4 linked regions of the Drosophila melanogaster genome follow. The protein of the gene in region 1 purifies or fractionates together with the protein of each later gene. This does not show direct contact. Each region holds a gene or a part of one and is shown on either strand. Other genes may lie near its edges. The genes, in order: Grip91, Grip128, gammaTub37C and Grip163.

Region 1 (4,775 bases):
AATAGCCAGCCACTTACCTTTGCGTTGCCCATCTGCTCCTTCCAGATCTTCATCGAGAGCACAAACTCCATGTGCTTCATGCGCCAGAGTGGCTTGAAGAGCACCTTGTACGTTGGCATGGTCGACTCCAGCATGGCGGCCAGTGGTCCGTGGACAATGTACTGCAGCGAGATGATGTTCCAGCCAATATCACCGTTGAACGGTCGTTGAACAATCACATCGAGATGGTTTAGAATATCAGGATCATCGTACTGGGCATTCGTACAGCGCAGAGCGGAATCCAACATGGAGGTGAGATCGTTAGCATATATATCAAGGCCCGGTCGCTCCAGTTCGTTCCTGAAAAGGCGATTTTCAAGTGTTACATTAGAAATTGAAAAGTTTCAATTACATTCATCAAGAAAACTAACTTCATGTTTTCAATCAGAATGCTAATAAAATCGCCCTGGCCCAACAGCAAGTAGCGCCGCATTCCGTGCAAATGATCCAGCAGCTTGTGTGGGCCCACCATAATGTCGAGGACATGTTTGGAGGTCTGCTGGTAGCACGTTTCCACGGCCGCATGCCAACTGGTGTCCGGTGTGTACGAAAAGATTTGAGAGGCTGTAGATAAGAGCATGGAGCATTTAAATCATTCGATTTCGCTAATCCAATTTGAAGAGCATGCCTTAACTCACCACTAGATTCCATGACCTTCATTAGTTCGTCGCGCTCCTTCATCATACCCTGCTCCTCGCAGATTTCTCTTAGAAAATTAATGGATTTGCCCGTCATGAGTATCTTATTGGCCATATCCATGGGCACAAACTTGGGCAGCATTGGCAATCGTAGGCGGAATTTATCGTGCCATAGCCGATCAACGCCCACATCTTTAATGGACTTCACAAAGAACTCTCTATGCATATCGCTAATGCCGCCCTCCAGAATCCATTTGGAGATCATGCGCACCAGTGGGCCACAAATGGCAGTTAGGAGATCCTCCACCAATTTATTGACCATATCGTTACCGTTGTCAAGGAAATCATAAACGGTCGATGCCAAATCACCGCCCTTCTTTACCTGGCAGGCGTCGGCAATCTTGGTTAACCACTGCATCCGGTGCAGTGGCTTTATATACCAGGCGAGCAGCTTGAATAGCGTCATTTCATCGCCAGCATCGGGCCCACTATCCTTTTTCCCCTTGTTTGCAATTCCATTCACCGAGGCCTGCCGAAAACGCTGCATTTCATCGTGAAGCATTGCCACTTGCCCGTGAAAATTCGCCAGCTCCTCCTTGAGTTTGGAAATCAGGGCCTGGCCCATGCTGCCAATGGCATTGAAACCGGTCGATACATCCGAAAACTTGACCACTCGATCGTGGTAGTAGCCAAGTTCGGAGAGCCGCAGCAACATGCCCGCTTGGCCGGTGGTCAGGAACTTGATGTTCTGCTGATCCAGCTTGAAACGGCCCGTTACCACATCCTTCTTCAAATACTTCCCTTGAACGCCGGTGAAGGAGTAAATGGCACTCATCACTATATCATGTCGAGACTCGGGCAACATCTTTGTTGCATCCAGGTAGTTGGGCAAGGACTGTTTTCTCAATCCGATGCTGGACTGTGTGGCATCATAACTGTGGCTTGCTGCTGCTCCTGTTACCGCTGCTGCTCCTGTTACCGCTGCTGCTCCTGTTACCGCTGCTGCTCCTGTTACCGCTGCTGCTCCTACTCCATTTCCGTTGACCACTCCCATCTCATTCAGACTGGCTATGGAGGAACTTATTGAGTTAAGACGACTGACCAGAATCTGAGTGAGATTATCGCACTGAGTACGTGGATCTTCGCTGGCAACTGCCTTTTCGGCATCCGAATTGTCGGTCATCGTAAGTAGATGGGTCATTAGCGAGTGCCTCATGTGCGGATCGCACTTGGTCAACGTGAGTTTCCTGTACAGCTCATTGAAGTGATCCGACACAGTTTTGCCCTCCTCCTTCTTATTCCGGGCGCTCAGCAGTTTCATTATCTTCTGGACACATTCGCGCTCAGTCAACATATTTGAGTCCCGAATGACCCGACTATTGGCGGCAATCATTTTGCTTAAATGATCCATTGCTTTTTCTGCAAAAGATTGAACAAAGTGCATTAAAACAAGGGCAATGAAGCCTACAATTATGTATAGTGTCTAGTGTATGTGTTGCATTACGTATCCTTAGATTCATTGATTTGGAAATTGTACGTATTGAGGACCTTGAGGATCTAAGAAACTTGCTCATACTTTTATAGTTAAGTATATGTGATCAATAGTCATTTAAAAACAATTCAAAACTATCTACTTTCGGATAAATATCTTTGAATACTTTGAATTGTTTGTGGGATATATACATTAATTTTGAACATTTACGACTATGCAACACACTTTGGCAATGGTTATTGCTACATTTAATCTAGAACTATAAAAATATAAGTATATGTATTGTTAGTTGCATATCTCAAGGACTCTCTGTTTGAAAATGCCATGAAATATGTTGAGTTTCTGGGATTAACTATAATCCTGAAGCACGTGGTCGATTCCCAAGGGTGGAGGCCTTCTTCCCGGAATGCCAGAGCAGTCCGTATGCCTTGCGTGCCTGGACAGCCAGTGAGTGATTGCACATTCCCAAATCTCACCGTGAACTTCGGGCATCTGCTTGCCCTTGATGCAGATGATCATCTCGTTAATGATATTCGATATATCAGTGGAATTGGTTGCCACATCGATGCCGGCGATCCTGTCCTGCGACATCCTGGTGCACTGAATTGTTCATAAATATCCAATCAAGCGCGCGTTAAACAGCCGATTTTGGATGGCTTGGTAATTGCGAAGTGGACAACAACTGTTGGCCAATGGCAAACGCACAGCTGTTCCCTGGCTATAATACGGCGTGCAGTCACTGGCAATTGTTCGGGATGCGTGAAATCTTCGACAGATAGGACAAAAACGCATCCAATTGGCGCGTACTTCATACAAATAATTTATTAAAATTATTTAGTGCAGTGTTACCGAATCTGGGAAACTTGACAAGGCAAAGTCCTAGCCGCTGGCGGGCACACACTGGCCGAAGGTGCAGCGATCTGGCAGCGCTCGTCTGCAATAGGCTATGCCATTTTGATTATCGTTCTACATTTTACTATAAAAATGTATTTCTGTCGGAATGTTACTGAATGTAGCATTTTTGTATAACAGTTATGTTTAGAAGTGCAGCTTTCAGCTTTTATGTTAATTCCATTGCAAACATCTGACAGCTCTGGGGCCGCAAACGTTTCCAACTCTCACTCGCCTGGTCACACTGTCCGTTTTGCATTTGCAATTGCTTGTAAGCAAAAATGGTAAACTTTAAAATTGTTAATATTTAATATAAAGGCTGAAGACATAGATGAGACTGACCAACTGCGTTTCGCCATGGAGCACACCAACGGCTGTAATTGGCTACAAGTCGTGTTTGATACCTACTGCTGGGGGAGTTAAAGCTTAAGGTGCTGCAAGGATGTCTTGGAATTCCAATGGACAAGGACTTTCCTTCGTCGCAATGGGCCATCAGCAGCTGGATGCGGTGGAGCAGTACCTGGAGCAGCCAACCCAACTACCTAGCAATATGTGGGCTAATCCTGAGCCCCAGAAATCAAGCTGGAACCACCGAGTGAACCGGTGACCAAGAAGGATTCTTCGCCACCAGATTTGAACGCGAAATAATATGTGAAATAATATATAATGTATATAATGTGTATTGAAACAGAAACCTCCGGTATTTAATTTAGAACATAGTTAAACTCTCATCCGGTTTACCTTACTCACTTCTATACGTAATTGCATTTAATATCCGGAGATTTCTGTAACGAAAAAAAAGCAAAATAAATGTTGGCCCGATCCTAAATTATTTCCAACTAAATAAACGAATTTGCCCATTGAAAACGCATTAAAATATGTTTTTAATTTTTATTTTTGATGTATATTTTCTGCTTTTAACACATTAGTTTATATATATATATATGTAGATATATATATTAAATATATATAGATGTGTGGGCGCGCATTTTTAAGAATATGTCGAATTTTGTTTCTTCATGAAGTGTGAACATTTTAAAATATAAGTGCGGCGAAAACAAAGTCTTTTTCTTATCATATAAAATGCAGCTTTTATTCAATCAAAAAAAAAAAAAAGCAAGCAGAATAAGATGAATCCGTGGGTAAATATACGTATAAAGTAAAATTAAGCTTAATTATGTTAGTCTTCTGACACACAAAGTTACAAAAAAATTAAGGAAAATCATGTTTTCGATGCGCATAGGAATATTATAAATGTTTTTCTCAATTTCAAGTCAATGGAATTTGTTTTGTGTAATCATCAGAGTTTTGATTGCGTTGATAGCATAAATCATCATCATTGGTTCGTTCCAAATACAAGTTATTCAATCAATTCAATCAACCCAAGAGGTGTGTGTGAGTGTGTGTGTACGAGTGCCTATAACAGTTTCATGTAAATAATATGCTTTGATTTCATGTGGCATAATGACGGTCGTGCTAAGTACGCCCACTCGCATCCTTTATGTGAGATCCTAGCCACAAAAAGCGACCCATCTCTGTTCCTGTTGCTCCTGCTCGTGGTTCCCCGCATACTTTTGGCTGGATTCTTCTTTCTTTTTCTTTTTTTTGTGATCGTTTCACTCATATCTCCTTTTTTAACAAATATTTAAAATATACTTTCGAATTACGCTGGTAGTTACATGTAGGTAAGATATACGTTGTAGGTGTTTATGTAG
Region 2 (6,130 bases), 1.7 Mb from region 1:
GCCTAACATTGAGGTGCTGCAGATTGAAGATTGAAGGAAGGCGGAACACATTAGCGCCACGCCAACCATGAGAAACCAGCTAAACGGGCGAAGCGAAACGAATAGAGCGGCGAGGCGGCAGAGATCAACGGACTATGCGACGGCAAGGAGTGCATTGCTGCTGTCTGGTGGCCATCGCCCTGGCCATGGCCATACGCCAGGTGTCCATGGGCATCAGCGCCAGCGATCGCCGCTTCCAGTGCCTGCAGACGCGACTGATAGGCCAGGCCAACTGCTCGCCATGCGCCGATCTGTACGTCTTCAATCGCCAATCCGCCTACCGGCGCTGCGAGCACGTCAACGGTAATTGCTACCCACATCGCACGGTCTTCGCCAGCGCCCGCATGTGCGAGCTCACCTGCCAGCCGTACATCCGGCGACCCACGCTGCACGAGGTGACCACCCTGCCGCCGCCACCACCGATCGTCGAGCCCTTCGGCGACAGCGATGAGGAGTTCGAGTGAGGTTTTGTCAACAAAGATAAGCTGCTTTTAATTCAGTTGGTATGGGAATGTTTGGTCGGGATTATAGGTAGTGGTGCAGGTGATGGTAATGCGTAATGTTTAACAAGATCCTTTGTGGAGGAGATTCGATTCTAATGGGGCACACTGGAGTTGATGGTCTCCTCCAAGGCAGACACTGCAAGACGAAGTGAAAAAGAGTAAGTTCAAATGTCCAAATTTCGGGACCAACAATCACTTACGGAATCCGTGATCGTTCTGGTGCACCAGCGTGTTAAGGATGTCGGCCAGCATCTGGTGGCAACGTATGTACGTTAACTCGATCTCCGCCACCTGGTTGAGCGCCAGGTACTCCAAGCTACGACGTTGCGTTTCGCTGTCATCAATGCCGTCATCCGAAATGGTGACGTCCAAGCATAGGGCATCGTGGTCGTGCATGCAGCTGGCGCAGGTGGTCCACTCCATGTCCAGCACGTAGACCAGATGAAAGATCTGGTCGAGGGCGACGCGGAATGCCTTAAATTCGTCGGTCAGCATACAGTGTGTCTTCAGCCACGCCAGGTGCTCGTCGTGCATGATACGCAACTCGCGGACATTCTTGCACTCGCCAATCCTGAGCTCGAACTGCCGGCTCACGGCCTCCATAATGTGCGCGTGCAGGTTGTTGATGAGGAAAATTAACCAGAAGCGCACAATCTCCAGGCGACGAATGGTCAGACCGATCAAATCCAGTGGTGCGCAGGGATTGAACCTAGCGCGACGCAAAAACTGCATATTCTCCAGCTTCCAGACGGCCCACTTCACCTTCAGCATCAGACGCCACACCGAATTGTAGTCTTGCATGTGCGCGGGTGTGAGAATGTACCACTGGTGCATGGCCATTGGCCGCTCGAAGTCCAGTTCAATAGCCTCCAGGGCCTCATAGACCTTGATTGAATTCGAGTTTATCTGGGATATTAACTTGACATGAAGATAATGAGCCAATTGCGGATAATGCGGAAGGAGCACAGCGCATAGCTTAGAAGTGAGCACCGAACCCAGTGCCCAGCTATTGTTTTTCTCCATGCGCACGAAGAGTGCGTTGTAGTATGGCACAAATAGGTAGTATTTCTCCAGCAGCATCGTATGCCGCAGGAATCGCATCTTCTCGGCCACCTGCGTTTCCTTGCAGTACGCTCGAATCGCGTACTCGTTCGCCAGCCACTGTCTCCTTCGCAGTATTTCGCGCAGTGCCTCCGGCAACTCAGACTTCAGCTGCAGACATGTGGAGCGCTCCAAGCGCTTCAAAATGTTGGCCATTAGAACGGGGTTGCTTTTAAGCCGCTCACGTTGTCGCTCCAAACGTTGTTCCACCAACGGCTGGGTAAATATGGCGAAAAGTTCATGGTTCCTAATGCCCTGCCTATTGCACACAGTCAGATCTTCGTAGTCTTTGTCCGGCTCCGGCTCATCCTCGTAATCCGTGTTGTCCGCACCACAGTAAACCTTTAGCTGCGCAAAGAACTGCGTGAACAGCTCATCGTGCAGCGACGGCAGTTGGATTTCATTGTTGCTGGTCAGCATTTCGCTCAGCGTATTTACACTACATAGCAAATCTTGCGTTTCGCCAGACTCCAAGGCATGCTCCAGCAGTAGCTGGTAGAGTGGGCAGGATTGCAGCTTGTTGAAGATCTCCACGAGTAGCAAATCATCCTCCATTCCCATATTTCGTTTGCGCACGTGGCTACGTGTGTTCGCATCTTCCTCGTAACTATTAAAAACAATGTAGTTATGACTTCAGCTGGCCAGAGTGATGTGTGAGCACCATTTTGGCTTACCAAAACTCCACGATGAACTCGCGAAGGTGATCTTCCAGCGCGGCCCTGCGCCACCAGCCGTCGATGATGATACAATATCGCTTGAGAGATATAAACAGCAGGGCAGTGGCCAGCTTCTGGTGCGGCACCTGCAGCAAGGTGTGCTTATACAGTCTGGATAGCAAGTAGGCACTGCGTATGTGCGCAGGTCCCTTATCCAGGATGACATCTTCGGCCAGCTCTCGCAGTAAGCGCAGCTGGCTAAAATGTTCCCTGAACTCAATCGTAAAACGGATCAGTGTATTTTTCGCTGGATCCTTATTGACACGATCCTCGTAAGCGATGAGGAGCTGGCAAATGGGCTGGACAAGATCTCTCAGGCCGTATGCAAAGAACTCCACGGTGTATGTTGTCTTTACGCCATGAAAATGCAACGTATGAGTATCGATGATGTGACGCAGTTCCATCATGTCCTCCAGCGCAGGCACCACATCAAATAACAGAAAATTTTGCATTGTGCTCTACAAAAAAAAAAGCCGGACTAAAGATAGAGTTACACATTAACGATTCGACTTTCTTACCGCAGTCACCGTACAAATACTGACATTGTCACGCACAGTAATGCGTCGCGTGGCCTTGTCGAATTCAAAGAAACAACAGCTCGCTGGACGCACAAACATGAAGAGGATCTCCCTTAGCAGACAGGGCTCCGTGATGGTTTTCGGCACTGGCAGGGCCAACAAGCCTCGGGCATTGTGATTCAGAAACTGCACGTAGCTGACGGCAAAGTTGTCCAGTGGCTTAGCACTGGAGGGCAGGGCGTTTAAATGGACATCTTGGCACCACCAGTGGGAATGGATTTTACGGAAGAGCGTATCTGTGTTGCCACTTTGCCAATATTGGGTGAATGGTCGGGGCGGTTGGGGTGGCGGCAACTGGAGCAGCTTGCTTCGTCTCAGATGGCTGCCCTTTAAGTTGTTGAGGCTTAGAACAGTTGGTTTCATTATCCGAAAGTCGTAACTCCGGATCACGCTCTGCTCGGGCGGCATATACGTTTTGTTAACACTTCCAGTCGGAACGACTGCCATCATGGCCTGCTCGTACACCCTGGCCATTTCCAAGAGGCTTCGCGAGACGCCAATATTTTCATCGGGCTTCAGAGTAGTTGTCGAGTCGCAGTCCGACTCCTCCGACCAGTCCTTTTGGAAAGAAGGTAAAGGTATTAGTATGCTGCAAATGATTTTATGGAAAGAACAGGCTACATATGTGTAGCAGATGACATATGTTTGGGGTTCTCTAGATGCTCACACTTAAGCTGTCCGAGCTGTCATCCTCTGGCGGATCCAGAAAATCCTCGGACAGCAGCGCTGCCCAGTCCACCTCCGTTTCGGAGGTATTCTTGGCTGCCTCCAGTTTCGCCTGTTCCTCTATCTGTGCCTGTCGCTCGGCTTCCTCCATGCTATTAATTATGGACAGACGGCGCTGTTCCATGAACTCGCGGTTCAGCCGGATCTTTTGCACCGGCCTATCGGCTATGCGAAACAGCAATTCGAGCATTTGCCATCCGGGGTTAGGATTGAATTGCTGTTGATTTTCGTCCATAGCCAAATACCTGATGGCCAAGTCCTTGATGCTCTCACCAAAAGACGCCATGCCCTCCGCCCGAAAACGCTCTGCCAGATCGTCCAGGTTGCGTTTCACCTCCATGTCCGTCGTTGTAGGAGCCCATGTCCTGCGTTGGTTGGCGATTATCTTCAATGCCGTATCCTCCATCTGGCGCAACTTTTTCTGGCTCGTCTGCGTTTTAAGTTGGTTAAATTGGAATAGGGATAACATCTGTTTTAAAACATACCCCCGGTTCCGACAGGCTCCTGACCAGTTTTCGCACGTTCTCGTTTATGGCGGAGTTGACTGCCGTCGAGGTCTTGCCGGAGCGCTTCCGTAGGTTACCCTTCTGGGCGGGAGGAGCCATTTCGCTCCGCTTTCTGATTGAGATCCAATAAATTCTATAAATGGCGCCCTCAGCAATGACAACAACGTAAATGGTACACCGGCATAATTATCGGTTCAGTTATCGATAGCAATGGAAACAGCTGTTCGTGGATGATCGACAATCGACTTGAAACGTAAACAATTGTAAATGTTGTCATTTAAATTGAGTTTTCGAAGGGCAATATGACGACCAGCTCGCCTCACCCCACCTACGTAATACTGGGCTCTGGCGGCCACACGGCGGAGATGTGCCGGCTGACCCAGGCGCTGCTGCAACAGACAGACATCGAACAGACGGAGAAGTACCAGCCAATTAGACTGATCCTGGCCAACAGTGACTCTACCTCCGAGCGCCAGTTCAGGCAGGTCCTGCCGCAGGCTGCCCAGAGGGCGGAATTCGTGAAGGTGCCGCGCAGCCGCGACGTGGGCCAATCCTGGCTAAGCAGCATCTTCACCAGCCTGTGGGCGCTTCTCTGGAGCTGCTATCTGGTCTGGCGTGATCGCCCCCAACTGATCCTCTGCAATGGACCCGGCACCTGTGTGCCCTTCTGCTATGCCGCCTATCTGTGGCGCCTCCTCGGACGCCTGCCCTCGCACTCCAGAATAGTGTTCGTGGAGAGCTTCTGCCGCGTGGAGACGCTGTCGCTGAGCGGACGCCTGCTCCTTCCGCTGGCGGACCTCTTTGTGGTCCACTGGCCGGCGTTGGCCACGCGCTATTTGGATAAAAAGAATGTGCGATATTTTGGGCGAATCCTGTAACATGTTTTTAATAACATTAAAGTTAACATTAGTTTCTATTTAACGAATTATGTTTTGTATGAGATGTTTTTTGTCCTAGCGCTTCTTGCGACCAGCGCAGACGGATCCATGGACCTTCAGGTGTAGAGGCATGATCTCCAGGCCACATCTGGGGCAGCCTACGGTCTCTTTGAAGAGGTTGCGCTGGCGGCGCTGACGCGGAGTAAGTTCGTCCTCGCTAGACGGCAGAGTAGACGAGTCGGTAGAGGAGCTCAGGTTGAGCTTGTCGATCTCCCCTTCTGTGTAACCGGAGCTGCGAAGAATTCCTTTTGATGACTTTGCTTTCGATTTAGCGCGGCGTGATGTGGAAGCTCCCGACGAGTCCTTTGAGGTTAAGGAAGCAGTTGTTCGGCGGTTTTTAGGCTTAAACGATGGCGGTTCCAAGCGCACCATAATGGCGCAGCCATCGAAGTGATTGGACAACTCAGTGCGCCTCATTTTCTCAAAGCAAATGGGACAAGATACGATGTCGTTCTCAATTCTTTTGGCGTAGCTTGAGCAACTGGGCTGCACGTCGTTCTCACGCTGGAACTCCTTCAGCAGGGTGTCCTCTCCAAAAATATCATCTATAATGGATTGGTCAGCTAGCTCCGTGGCGGCTGTTAAAGATTCATTTGCGGCCACCTCATCGTCGTATTCATCATCAATTAAGAGGATATCGTCCTCACACAAGGTCAACTCATCCTCCATTACCTGGCGCTTGATGATCTGCGTGCGCTCCTGACTGGTCATGGTTTTTCTGCCAGCTGGCATCTTCATCTCCTCTTCATCACTAGAGCTTTCGACCAAGTTGACGATGGGCGTATGAACATCCCTGACCATTACGTCATCATCGTAGGACTCCCAGTTGATTATCTCGCTGTCGCTGGAAACACGACGCCTCTTTTTCTTATTCTGTCGCTTGTTGGAAGCATCTTCGCTAAAACGCTGAAGTCGAATTTGACGAAGTTTAGCGGAATCGGGAACATCAGTGTCACTAAGATCTATGTGTTCTATAGCGCTAGAGCCACCAAGACTGTAGCCCTGTCCGCTCATTTCAGTGGT
Region 3 (4,392 bases), on another chromosome or scaffold:
GCTGGGGTGCAGGGTACACAGCAGAGTTCCACGCAGCAGTTGTAGCATCCGCCGCACGGATCGCAGCAGCGAGGTCCACAGGGTCCGCAGCACATGATCTTCCAAGTGAAAGGAAAGCTAAGAATTAATCATATAAATTGTTTTCACTTACGATTTTATTTTGTCTTGGGGAAAAGCGTTCAGGGTATCCTAATTTCCTTCTAAAAGGGCAGCTAAGTGGACTTTAAACCAAATTAGATTGTTCTCTATGCAATGTGAACTAAACACTTACATTTGGCCTATTTACAGAAATAGGATCTTAGAAACAACAAAATAGGTACCGGAAAACGTAAGACACAAACTATTTTCAAAGGTGTTAACACATCGAATTTTGGAATACGAATGGAAAATTCATTTCGCTCAGTCTGTTACGGGGAAATGTGAAGTGACATGAAAAATCAAAGCCAATATGACTATAAAAATGTACACATATCAAGATACATGTGGATGTGGAATTAGTGATTGTGTTGACCAACTTTAAACTAACTAACGAATAAGTAAATTTTAGTTATTGTATATCCTTAGTTGAATAAAAAACCCTTTTTTTCACACAAAAGTTGATATCAGAACTTTTGTGTGTTGAGGTGTGATCGTTACTACTTCCTACCTCGTTCAGAGTTATTTTTGCTTGATTTATGTAAGTTGAATCATTCCTGGAAACTTTTATAATTCCTAAATTGATTATAAAGTATTTTAAATACATATATTATTGTTGATAAAAAAAATAAAAAGTATTGACGGTTGAATTATAAATAATTATCGATTAACCGGCTTTCGAAGCTTCGACAGCAGGACTCCACTGGGGATAATCGATCTGGGTGGCTGCCTCATATTCCTGCACCAAGCAGTCAACCGTGTCCCGTGCGATGTCCAGTTCGGTCAGGTCGTCCTGGAACATGGATTCGCGGCGAAAGTTGTCGAGGAAGGCGTTGCGCTTCCTCAGCTTATCGTACTGGGCCAAGGCCCTCTTGAAGAGCGAACTGATACCCGTGTGATTGGCCATCATCAATCCGGATACCTTGTGGGCCGACTGCACATAGGGCGAGCTGCGCGGCAGAGCCACTTGGATGCTGGCCGGACCCCATGGTATGAAGTTGGCCAGCTTTCGCTCGCGGATGCGCTGCAGCGACTTGTGCACCTGGGATGGATCCACCTCGCCCTGGATGATGTTCAGTATGGAGACGAAGCACTGGCGGCTCTGCTTGTCCGTCAGCGCGGAAACCATCATGTTCTTCGGCTGCAGAAGGCGACGCATTACATCCAAAACGGTGGTCTTTCGAACGCTTGTCTTGGTCTGAAAGTGGTTGCCTCTTTTTATTTGCATTCCCATTTACATATGTCATATCATCATACCTCGCAGTCGGACATTAGCGGAGTATATCCCGTCATCAGGAAGTGCAGCTGGGGCGTGGGAATGAGCGAGGCGGTCAGACCGATGAGGTTGTTGTTCATGTACGAGGGATATCGCAGGGTGGTGGTGCTCAGACTCATGATGGTGGACACCAGATTGTTGATCTGCGTAAAAGTGGGCGTTTGGATGTGCAATCTTTCGGTGGCGATGCGGTTCAGTGCGGTATTATCCAGCACCACCACACTGTCCGCGCACTTGGTCAAACGCTTCAGGGTAAGGATCGAGTTATATGGCTGCACAACCACGTCGCTGATCTCGTCCTGATTGGGAAAAACGCTGTACGTCTGTATGAGCTTCTTGGGAAAGCGTTCGGACAGCCGTTCCAGGACATATGAGCCCATTCCGGACCCAGTTCCGCCGGCTATCGAGTGGCAGAGCACGAATCCCTCCAGCGAATCGCTGCCATCGGCCTCGCGGTCCAGAATGTCGAACACCTCCTCCTGCACCTTCTCACCCTGGCTAAAGCCGGACGCCCAGTTGTTTCCTGCTCCACCGCCGTGCTTGGAGAGGAACACATTCTCCTGGTTGTACAACTGCAAAGGGGAAACACATATCCATCTACATAGTTTTTTAAATGAAATACATAAAATAAAGTAGATTAGATCAGAATCCGATCCAATAAGACCAGTTTCCGCACTGACCTTGGAGTACGGAGAGGTCATGATGTTGTTAATGACTCTGGGCTCTAAGTCTATGAGAACGGCCCGCGGTATGTAATGGTTGTCGTCCGCCTGGTAAAAGAACACATCCTTGCGATCCTGTCCATCGGTGGCGAAGTCTTCCAGGACGCCATCCGGGGAGATGCCGTGCTCCAGGCACAATCTCTTCCAGAACTCGAAACCAACTGCGGAATGGAGTGATCTCGATCAAGCCGGAGCTTCTCTTAACTTCGATTTCGACGTGAAGAACTTACTTTGATTGCCACATTGGCCCAATTGAAGGGTTATAATCTCGCTGGGCATTTTGCTCGAATTGCAGTTTAGTTAATTTCGCTTCTTTCTCAGTAAATAATAACTGTGCATCGAAGGCCAACTGGAGATGGAAGTGGAAGTCATTAATATCGATATACAAGAAGTACAATACAACAGTAAGTTATTACCTATTTTTCTTTACTAATCTTTATGATTTATTTAATGTTATTGGACTTATAGAAAATACTTAGAATTAAGATTTGATCCATTTTTTTTTTAAATATTTAGGTTCAAATAAATTAGCCATAGTTATATATTTTTTATGTTTTCATTTACATAAAACATTAACTGTTATTTTTTTAAATTTAAAGGACTAGCTTTTTCAATTGTACAGCACACCCTGTGGCTGCGAGTAACGGTTCTCGGGAGTCGTTATTTTCTGAGAAGCGCGCAACGTGCACACTGGCAGGCTGATTGAAAAAATTCGTTGCAAATGTTTATGTACAAATATTGAATAAAAAATAAAAATGCTGCGGCAGGAGAACTTGGCAGCCAACTTCTGCGGTCTCCTGGCCAGCCAGGGCTATAAAGGTGAGTTCGTATTTCGCCAATTTACTCCGAGCCTCATGGATGTCCGTAAAAATCGCAGAGAAGGCAAACGAGTGGCGCATTTTGGGCCAGGAACAGGATGGATCTCTGCTCACGTCCTGGATATTCGAGTACGCGGACGAGGATCAGCGCAAGGAGACGTGCATTGGCCACTTTCACGCCACCAAGAAGCAGCTGCGACTCCTTTGGACCCTCGACAATTGCCGTGAGATCGTCCAGGCAACGATTAACAGCAGTGTCACATTGCTGTCCTTCGTGGAGAAAACTGAGGGCAAGCTCTATCAGGCCTTTGTCGTGGAGGTAAGGAGCTCCGAAGGTGGCACGGCCACGCCCCTCAACTCGGAGCCCTCCAACCGCCAGATGATGACGCAGTTCCTGTGGCGCGTCGAGAGTGCCACGCGCACCTGCTGGCAGGACAAGCTACTGGTGCTCACCCACGAGGAATGTAGGTGTCATGTATATGTCATTATCCACCTCTAACTCCCATGCTCGTACCTGTTTTTTCTAGCCATCAAGCAGTACAGCTGCGTGGTCAAGCAGAGCTCCACCACATGCTCGACTGGCGGAGGCGAGGGCAGCGCCTGGAGGCTAGACACCAGCATACTGACCTACGAAACGCTGGCCAGGAACTTTAGCTGGGCCCAGTGGGATCCCGAGTGCCAGGCTCTTTATTACATTCACTTGAAGCCGAAGGCCAAGAGCCTCAGTCTGCTGGACGAGAGGGAGGAGGCTGGCGAGCAGACAACTCCTACTTTAAGCCCCACGCTCTCCGCCTTTCAGTTTAACGAAAAACAGCCAACGGAAACAGTGGTAGGTACTTAAAGATTAAAGTATTACGTATAGGTGTAGTTACATCTTTCTATTGCAGCTTAATATACCCCTCAATTTGCCAAAGCTGCCCAATGGCTCCAAAGAGGAATCGCCAAGCTACGATGACGATGCGGTTCCCTTGCGCGTGCACGATAGTTCGCTAAATCTCATCATACTGGCGGACACCTCGGGCATGTTTTTCGTCTGTCACTACTACCTGTACCAGCCGATGCAGTCGGAGCAAAGGGATGTGCACTTTGCCTACTCGGTGACTTTGCTTCACCACGGCTATGTGGTGCACTGCGTCATGCCCGGTGTGCCGTGGCAAAAGGCCCGTCTGCTGAGGCCAACATTTGCGCTACACGGCCAGCATCACTTGCTGGTGTCGTCCGCCTTTTTTGTCCACCTCTTGGACGTGGGACTGCAGCACGAACCGAACTGCCATATCGTGTGTGCAGCCCACAATCGAAGTCCCGATATCACACAGCTGGTGCCTTTGCGAAAGTGGGGAGCTCTGGCTTATGATGCGGCCACCTTGGATCTGGTCTCGTTGTCCGTGCCCAAATCCCATTTGATAGAGGCTTTCCGCAATGACAGTTCGCTGGACAATAG
Region 4 (7,524 bases), on another chromosome or scaffold:
GTACAGCACACAAATGATTTCCACATTACACCGGTGGCGCACGATGTACTCTTTCGCTATCTGCTTGAGCACACCATGAACTTAAAGCCGACGATCAGCTGCATCCATCTGCTGAGCCGTCCGGCATACAATGGGGGCCCTGCCCCCGACGAATCTGCGATAATCAGCAGTGGCAACGGCACAGGCAACACCAACTCCACCGAGCAGTTCACCTCGAGCGCCTACATGGTTACACCTCCTAATACGCCCGGCATGGCCAAGAGCGATGCCGCATCGCTGTCCAATCGCCATACGTCTATTTCGAATAGCTTCGGATGATTAGACAGCTCGCTCGCTGGTGTTGCCGTGCACTTGCCACTGCTAACGTAACGTGCCTCCGCCCATCATAATCATTATTCCTTAGGTTTAAGGTTTTTCATGGTTGTCATAACGCATTTTCATACATAACTCATCTATGTACTTAGTTTTTTGTGACCTGCACAATTTACAGAGCCAGTGACCCAGAATTTATGAATGAAATCCATAATTTGAAGTGTTCTTAGTAGTTAGTTTGGAGCTGTTAAACCCATGTGAAACATGTTTATTTAGCTGTAATGCCCGCGATACGAATTGAAATGAGAAACGCGCTGGATTCGAATGGAAAATTAAATGAATTGGAATTAATTTTCTTTAAATGTTTATTTGCATTCTTTGGTGTTTGGGCATGGCATATGCATATCATAGCTTGCTTGATTTCATATGACATCTTTTTAATTGTATTGATGTTCATTTTAATTTATGTTAAGTTCACGCTCTTCATTTATATCGAATTAACAAATTATTCTTTTGTAATTTTAAGCGCTTTGCTGACATATGTTTCCACACGGTTTACTGTGTGTATCAGCGTACCAAGACCTTTATCTTCTAGAGAACTGCCGAATAGTTTTGAAATAACAAGAACATTGCAGAATAAATCCCATCCCATACTAACATTCATTAAATATGAAATTTACTAATATTGAAACCTCGTCCAATCACATCGGTTCTGCGGTATGTAACAAATCCTATCTACAAGTAGGACCCACCCATCTACTTGGGATTACTTTCTAAGACTTTGCTGCCGTAGAAATATGTGTGCTTTATACGCTTTGTAGCTCCCAACTAAAGTTGCTCGCATTGATACATCCCATAATTACCATACTTACCCAGAAACTGCTTTCTAACCCATTTGTGCTGTCCCATTCGAAAAACGATCCAATGTTCTGTACCTGCCTAATGAAACTTACAATCTTTGCAGATGTTCTTCGAGGACAACATCGACCATGCGAAGTACTCCGGACACCTGTACGGCCTGGGTACCTCCTTCATCGTCAATGGCACCAACTTCCACGACAGCAACGGTGAGACGAACAGCGCTTCATGATTCGTACTGATGGGGAACGTGGTCGTGCACGACAGGAAGTTCGAGCAGGAGGAATCACCGGGTCCGTCGGCATCTGTGCAGGCCACACCACCTGGCCAACTGATCCTAGCCGTAACAACACCATTGCAGTAATCTGTGGACAGTCGACACAGATCGTTCCCATTTGTGAACAATTATACCCCGTTGGCCATAAAGCTAACTTCTTGATGTTTCCCACGCAAGTTCAGATGAATAGGCAACCGTTCAATACGAAAACATGGCATAAACTAATTGTAAATCGCATAGAAATGAAAAACCGGCAAAACTAAAATAGATTCAATTTCAAGTTCTGCATGTCTTAAATGTGTTACGAATACAAAACTAAGGTATGTAAAATTAAGCTAAAACTGTAAGCCAATGAGCGAAACAGAGAATATTGTGTATTTGTAAAAAGAGCAAAAAAACAATATATTTAAAACTTTTTAATTTAGTGTACATTTCGAAAACGTGTTTTTATTTGAAGTATGAATACGAATCGAGATGTTTGGTTTAGTAGAAAAAAGATGGCGAAAACCTGTAGAAAAAAATATCAAATATCAAATATCAAATCAAGAGAAACCAAGAATCCCAATATCTACAGATGAAAACAAAATTTTCAAGGGTTAAAAATCAATAGTGGGTTAATGAACATATAAAAGGTATTTTTAAAATATAACGGAAATACGCCGAAGTAGCAATAGTCGGATTTTTGTGAAACTGTGGTGCGGTCACACCGAGCCTAGTCCTTATGTTTTGTTTATGGAAAATATCTTTTAGTTTTTGAGTATTAAAAGCCAAATCGATGGCAACTGTGGCTGAATGCAATCACAGCGTCCTCGACCTGGTAACCAAAATGGCCACAATGCTGGTGGCCGATGAGATGAAGCCAAAAAAACAAACAGCTGTGCTGGTGGCCAAAAAGCGCTCCAAAATCTATGAATCGCTGCTTCACAGTGAAACGATGTCGTCCCAGGACAAGCTGGAGATGCTCCACCAGGTGACCAGCGAGGTGGCAAAGAACCCAGACCGGATGGACATGCTGCTCAGGTTCCAAAATCTGCTAGAAGGACAGGATAAGGAAGAATCGGAGATTACACAGGACCAGGATGAGGAAAACCAGTCCGAAGTGGTGATCAAACGTATCAAGGCAGGTCCACTGCAGCTGATTGAAACCATAGAGATTGTGGAGGAGGCACTTCATCCAAAGGCCTTTCCCGACATCAATCAAATGAATCGCGCCCTGAAACCCCTGCAACTACAGCCATACTCCGATATTCTTACAACGAGTAACCTGAATATAAATTTTCCGCCAGAAAAGCTAATTCCGAAGATCATACCATCTACTGTAATTCGCATGGGATTATCAGAGTCCATTACACGCATGAGGAACGAAATGGAAAAACCAATGCATCCACCACCCCGATTGCCAGTGCTCGCGAAAAAAGTCGTAGCTCCATTAGAGGATGAACGACCTTTTGTGGCCCAGCCTGGACCGGAGAAGCACTTCGTTTCGGATAAATTGTTGACCAACGAACTTAAGATCCTCCGGAACAAGAACCTGGTTCTCAACTACCTAGATGAAGCAACCCTAATCGATCACCTAAAGAAAGCAGCGTGTGGTATTGAATCTTTAACGTTTCCCATCTCGTCGGCAGATAAGTTGGAGTTGCGAGTGAGGCCCAACACAACTTTGCCAACTATGCTGCCGGAGGTGCTGGCGGATTTTGCAAATCACTTCATTCGTGCCGGCTGCGCCTTCCTGCGTTTGAGTTCCCGCACCAAATGGAACAATATCGCCGAAATGCGGCTGGAAAGGCCTCTAAATCGAGTGAGATTGAATACCTTATTTCCAGTAGTGATATATTCAACAATCCCATGCTTTCTTATAGGCCATGCGAGAGACGATTATGGACTATCTAAGCACCACTCGGCAGTTTTTGCTCTCTTTGCAAGCCGATAGCCTTTTCCAGCTGCTAAACAACACCTCCACAGCGATTCAGTTACTCTGCCAACTAGATAGGATGTTCGAAAATGAACCAAGATGTAAGAATGCCGCGACGCGAAATTATTTCAGAATTAATCTCTTTTATATACATTAATGCAGTAAACCTGAACACTGGGATAACTGGCTCCTTCCTGTTGAGCTCCATCTGGCTGGCCATCGACACCTGCGGAAACAAAGACTTCCTGCACCTGCTCATCTATTTCTTGCGCTGCATATCCCGTAATTATTTTATTCAGCTACAGAGATGGATCTACCATGGTGAACTAGACGAGTCGGTCAACGAGATTTTCATCAGCCGCTGTCTGAACACTTCACCGTCTTTTACAAACCAGTGCAGCAAAGAGTTCTTTGACAAAAGCTATCAAGTGGACAACGAGGCGATTCCTGAATTTTTAGTCGGTTGCGAAGAGGAAATTCTTCAATGTGGCAAATACAACCTGGTGCTAAGGGCATATAACGCTCAGGTATGCAGAAGATTATTCAAAACTAGAATCCATATATAATGATTTATTCTTTTTTTAGCACCCCGTTTTTGACGTGCAGTACCCGGATATTGTGGTTTGCCTAACGGAGCAACAACTCAAAAATATGCGCCGCAACCTGGCCGATAAGTATGCCATCATCTATAAACGTTTCGGATGGTGCAGCATGCAAAGCATTTTCGAGGACCGCATGGCGACAAAGCGTGTATTTGCCAATCTAATGGTGAAGCGAACGCAGGCCCATCTGGACGCGTGGGCGCAGAAGCAGCGTGAACTCCAAATAAAAGCGAATGCCCAGAAAAAACTCCAGAACGATCAGTTAAACGCAGAGCAGGAACGTATCCAGCAAAATCACTTAGAGAAGCGGCGTCAGGACATTGTTAATGAACTTGCATTTCAGCGGGAATGCGAACGGATGGAGGATAAGCTCCTGGAGCGGGAAAAGCAAGAGCTGCAAAAGAAAGTGGTGCAGCTAGCAGCTGTCCTGTCGTCCAGTCCTGACCGAAGCACAGTCAGCGATCTCAGTTTTGCATCCTGCATTGAGGAACCAGATTGTCTAGCAGAATCATCTTCTGATAAAGATGATGCAAATACAGAAAATTCAGAGGATGAGGCAACAAAACAGTTGGATAAGACTTTAAATGTTCCATTGGAACAGCCCGAAGCTGAATATCAAGCGGATGTAGATGTGGACCAACCACGTGGCAAAGAGTGTTCACTTCCCAATGTGTTTCAGTATCAACGGAGTCACTCGGACGTGATAAATTCTAACGAGCATCCAACAACCCAAGCAGAGTTCAATCGAAACCGCCAGCATGGTCTCTCCTCCGACCAGTTTCAACAGTGTCATGCCACGGTACATCTACAAGAGTCCGACTTACTTAAAACCGCTGCCAGCACGAGTTCAGGATTGCACGCAGAAATTCCTCAAGATATTAATGCTAATCTCAATTGCCCGGACACGAAAGAGCTGACCGAACTACAGCGAAACCGCAAGCGCAACGAGCATCATGACGGCTTCTTCAGTTTTAACTCTACCGAAGATGAGCACACCCATCGATTGCGTTCCCTATTGAACTCAAATACTGAACGTGGCAGAAATCGACTTCGGGTTATGGAGACCGAGTTCGGTCTAGGTTATAAGAACACGGATATAGAAACAAAGGCCACGCCCTGTTTGCCTCTCGAAATCGACAAGCTTCACGTCGAAATTCCCCTGGCGGTGCTAACTCCAATGTCCACCACTTCCGATGTGGATTTCGGTGATCCGTCGCCACGGGAACTACCAGAAATAGCTGACACTGCTAATAATAACAATGTTAGTGGGAGCATTGAAAGTTTGTCTCCGGAGTTGCCAAAGCCCGTTCTTGCAATTGCTAAACCAACTAGCTTATTGCCGAAACTGGATTTTGGAATGAAAGATGAAAGGGAGACGGAACAGGACAGAGATAAAGTTAGCACTTTGCCCGAGGCTTGCAATCCGTTTATGGCCCGCCGCTGCCTGCAGCTCTCCGTAATGGCGCCCCTTAACGCATACTACGGACTGCTCCGAAATGAAGTGCTGAGAATATTCCAGGAGCAGCGTATCTACGAGCATTTCCGCAAGCTCAGAAACTACTTTTTCCTGGTGGACGGTCAATTTGGAGCTACACTCACGAACGAAATTCTAGGAAGAATAAGGGCGGGCGTTGGGCCACGAAGTCTCAGCCAGAAGGGCATCCTTGACACCATTTTAACCAATGCGCTGGCGGCTTGTTCGGCGGATGAAACGACGGTATCGGAGAACCTTACCCTCAATTGTACCACCATCCCGGATACGCTCAACTTCCTGTCCGTGGAAGCCACTTCTATGCTAAAGCTGAACTGCAAGATTGATTGGCCTTTAAACATGGTGATCAGCTCGGAGACGATTTCAAAATATGGCCAGATCTTCGGGTATCTGCTGAAGCTTCGTCACGTTAGTTTCGTGCTGGATGGAACCTACGAGTATCTGCAGCAAATGGGCAAGCTTCTGGGACCGGAACTTCGGACATGTACTCATTTCCGACACATGCAGATGATGCGCCACAAGATGTCGCACTTCATGACCTCGTTTCAAACGCATCTGGTGGCCAAGGCCCTGTTGTCCACCTGGAAGAGCTTCAAGGAGGAGTTGTGCACAGCCGATTCCATTGAGGCGTTGTACAAGCAGCATGTTGCCTACTTAAAGCGGGTAGCCTTCCTAGCACTGCTAAATCGACGCAGTGCGAAAGTAAAGGAAACCATTGATAATATCCTAGTGATTATACTACGCTTTTGCAAGTGAGTTTACGTCTTAAATAGTCTGCTGATTCATTTTATTCTTTAATTTAAATGTTTTTCAGAGTCATTCAGTCGCAGTCCTTTATTGTGGATCAAGATAATTACTTTGTGCACCCCCGCTTCAAACGTCTGCAGCAGGAAGAGGCTGAGTTCGAGAAATTCTTGCAGTATCTCATCTATTTGGGCAACAAGGCGGCCGCTTCTGGTTACCAGGAGGAAATCGGTGACCTGATTTGTATTATTAACTTTAACCACTATTACAAGGTATCTGGGAACCATACTGGTTCCTCAATGGAGGACAAAAAGTGCTAGCCAATAATTGTTAGATAGGGAATTTATCTTGCCATTAAGCTGAGCTTAGAACATTTTAAAAAATATTTATGCATGCATGGCGTCTCCTAAATGTAAAGCTTCGGTGAAGAAAATCAGCTTTAAAGGCATTTATTTCTTAGTACTATTTCTTTAGTTTCGGTTAACAGTTTTGTTGTGTTGTAAGTTAATATTAATTTTCAAATAACCGGCTCAAATTAAAAGAAAATAATTTAATTAGTAACATCTAATAGTGTTTTAATTGAACTCGTATTAAATGCCGAAAAAACTGTTTTGAATATTTATCCATATCATTAATAGATTTCTGTTTAATATTTAAGAAAAACTTTTAAAAGAGACAATTGTCTCTAAAGTAGAATGTACGTATTAAATATTGTAATGAAACCAATGTCGACATGATTTCTTGAAACTGTTGATTCGAATTTATAAATAAATGTGCTTATTTATGTATGTCTTACCATATTTAATATTTAATATTTAATATTTAATTCAAACGTATGTAAGGTATCGCTTCCCTATCATCTCTAAGTGACTGTGCGCGTACGATGTATCGGTATTCGCTCCATCCCTGGTCATGAGTCACTTCGTGTAGAATAATTCAGTTTTATTTTTAGTTTATAAAAGCGCTGCACGCGATCAAGAATTTTATATTTTTAAGTAATTTATTTCATCGAACTATAATCAAAAAACATGCAGGTAAGATGGACTGTTATAAGCAAATTATATTTATTATCCGAACAATAAGGTTTTTCCATTTCGATAAATGGTAATGGTGGGTGTGTTTTGGTGCATCCAAAAATAAACCCCATATTTGGTATTGAAAATCATGAATGAAATGAAACTCACGTGGCCTTGTTGTCCATAGGACCCAAACGAAGATACCGAGTGGAATGATGTGCTCCGAGCCAAGGGAATAATTGGGCCCAAGGCGAAGGAGGCGGAGATCACAGAGGATCAGATCCAGAAGCTGATGGACGATGCCATCC

What was found.
Region 2: the proteins of Grip91 (region 1) and Grip128 fractionate together in Drosophila melanogaster (co-fractionation; 3 studies listed by BioGRID). This does not show direct contact.
Region 3: the proteins of Grip91 (region 1) and gammaTub37C purify together in Drosophila melanogaster (affinity purification with western blotting; 4 studies listed by BioGRID, with this or other methods). This does not show direct contact.
Region 4: the proteins of Grip91 (region 1) and Grip163 fractionate together in Drosophila melanogaster (co-fractionation; 3 studies listed by BioGRID). This does not show direct contact.

The regions. Positions count from the first base shown.
Region 1 is NC_004354.4:13,741,639-13,746,413, forward strand, and holds the start of Grip91 (Gamma-tubulin ring protein 91), read right to left. Parts: upstream 3,046-4,775; 5' UTR 2,761-3,045; coding exon 2,646-2,760; intron 2,097-2,645; coding exon 678-2,096; intron 604-677; coding exon 411-603; intron 340-410; coding exon 18-339; intron 1-17.
Region 2 is NC_004354.4:15,467,772-15,473,901, forward strand, and holds Grip128 (Grip128), read right to left. Parts: upstream 4,349-6,130; 5' UTR 4,269-4,348; coding exon 4,149-4,268; intron 4,094-4,148; coding exon 3,605-4,093; intron 3,496-3,604; coding exon 2,878-3,495; intron 2,818-2,877; coding exon 2,318-2,817; intron 2,251-2,317; coding exon 743-2,250; intron 679-742; coding exon 635-678; 3' UTR 510-634; downstream 1-509. Other genes in the region: CG15641 (uncharacterized protein), read left to right, coding at 135-503; Alg14 (ALG14, UDP-N-acetylglucosaminyltransferase subunit), read left to right, coding at 4,472-5,047; mh (maternal haploid), read right to left, coding at 5,123-6,130.
Region 3 is NT_033779.5:19,183,241-19,187,632, forward strand, and holds gammaTub37C (gamma-Tubulin at 37C), read right to left. Parts: upstream 2,487-4,392; 5' UTR 2,413-2,486; coding exon 2,364-2,412; intron 2,295-2,363; coding exon 2,092-2,294; intron 1,984-2,091; coding exon 1,393-1,983; intron 1,334-1,392; coding exon 803-1,333; 3' UTR 623-802; downstream 1-622. Other genes in the region: CG46059 (uncharacterized protein), read right to left, coding at 1-95; pigeon, read left to right, coding at 2,889-2,952, 3,011-3,415, 3,479-3,780, 3,839-4,392. UniProt on the Drosophila melanogaster protein: Tubulin is the major constituent of microtubules. The gamma chain is found at microtubule organizing centers (MTOC) such as the spindle poles or the centrosome, suggesting that it is involved in the minus-end nucleation of microtubule assembly.
Region 4 is NT_037436.4:11,992,749-12,000,272, reverse strand, and holds Grip163 (Grip163), read left to right. Parts: upstream 1-2,134; 5' UTR 2,135-2,222; coding exon 2,223-3,248; intron 3,249-3,309; coding exon 3,310-3,463; intron 3,464-3,524; coding exon 3,525-3,889; intron 3,890-3,947; coding exon 3,948-6,208; intron 6,209-6,270; coding exon 6,271-6,520; 3' UTR 6,521-6,999; downstream 7,000-7,524. Other genes in the region: Pop2, read left to right, coding at 1-318; viaf (viral IAP-associated factor), read left to right, coding at 7,229-7,234, 7,404-7,524.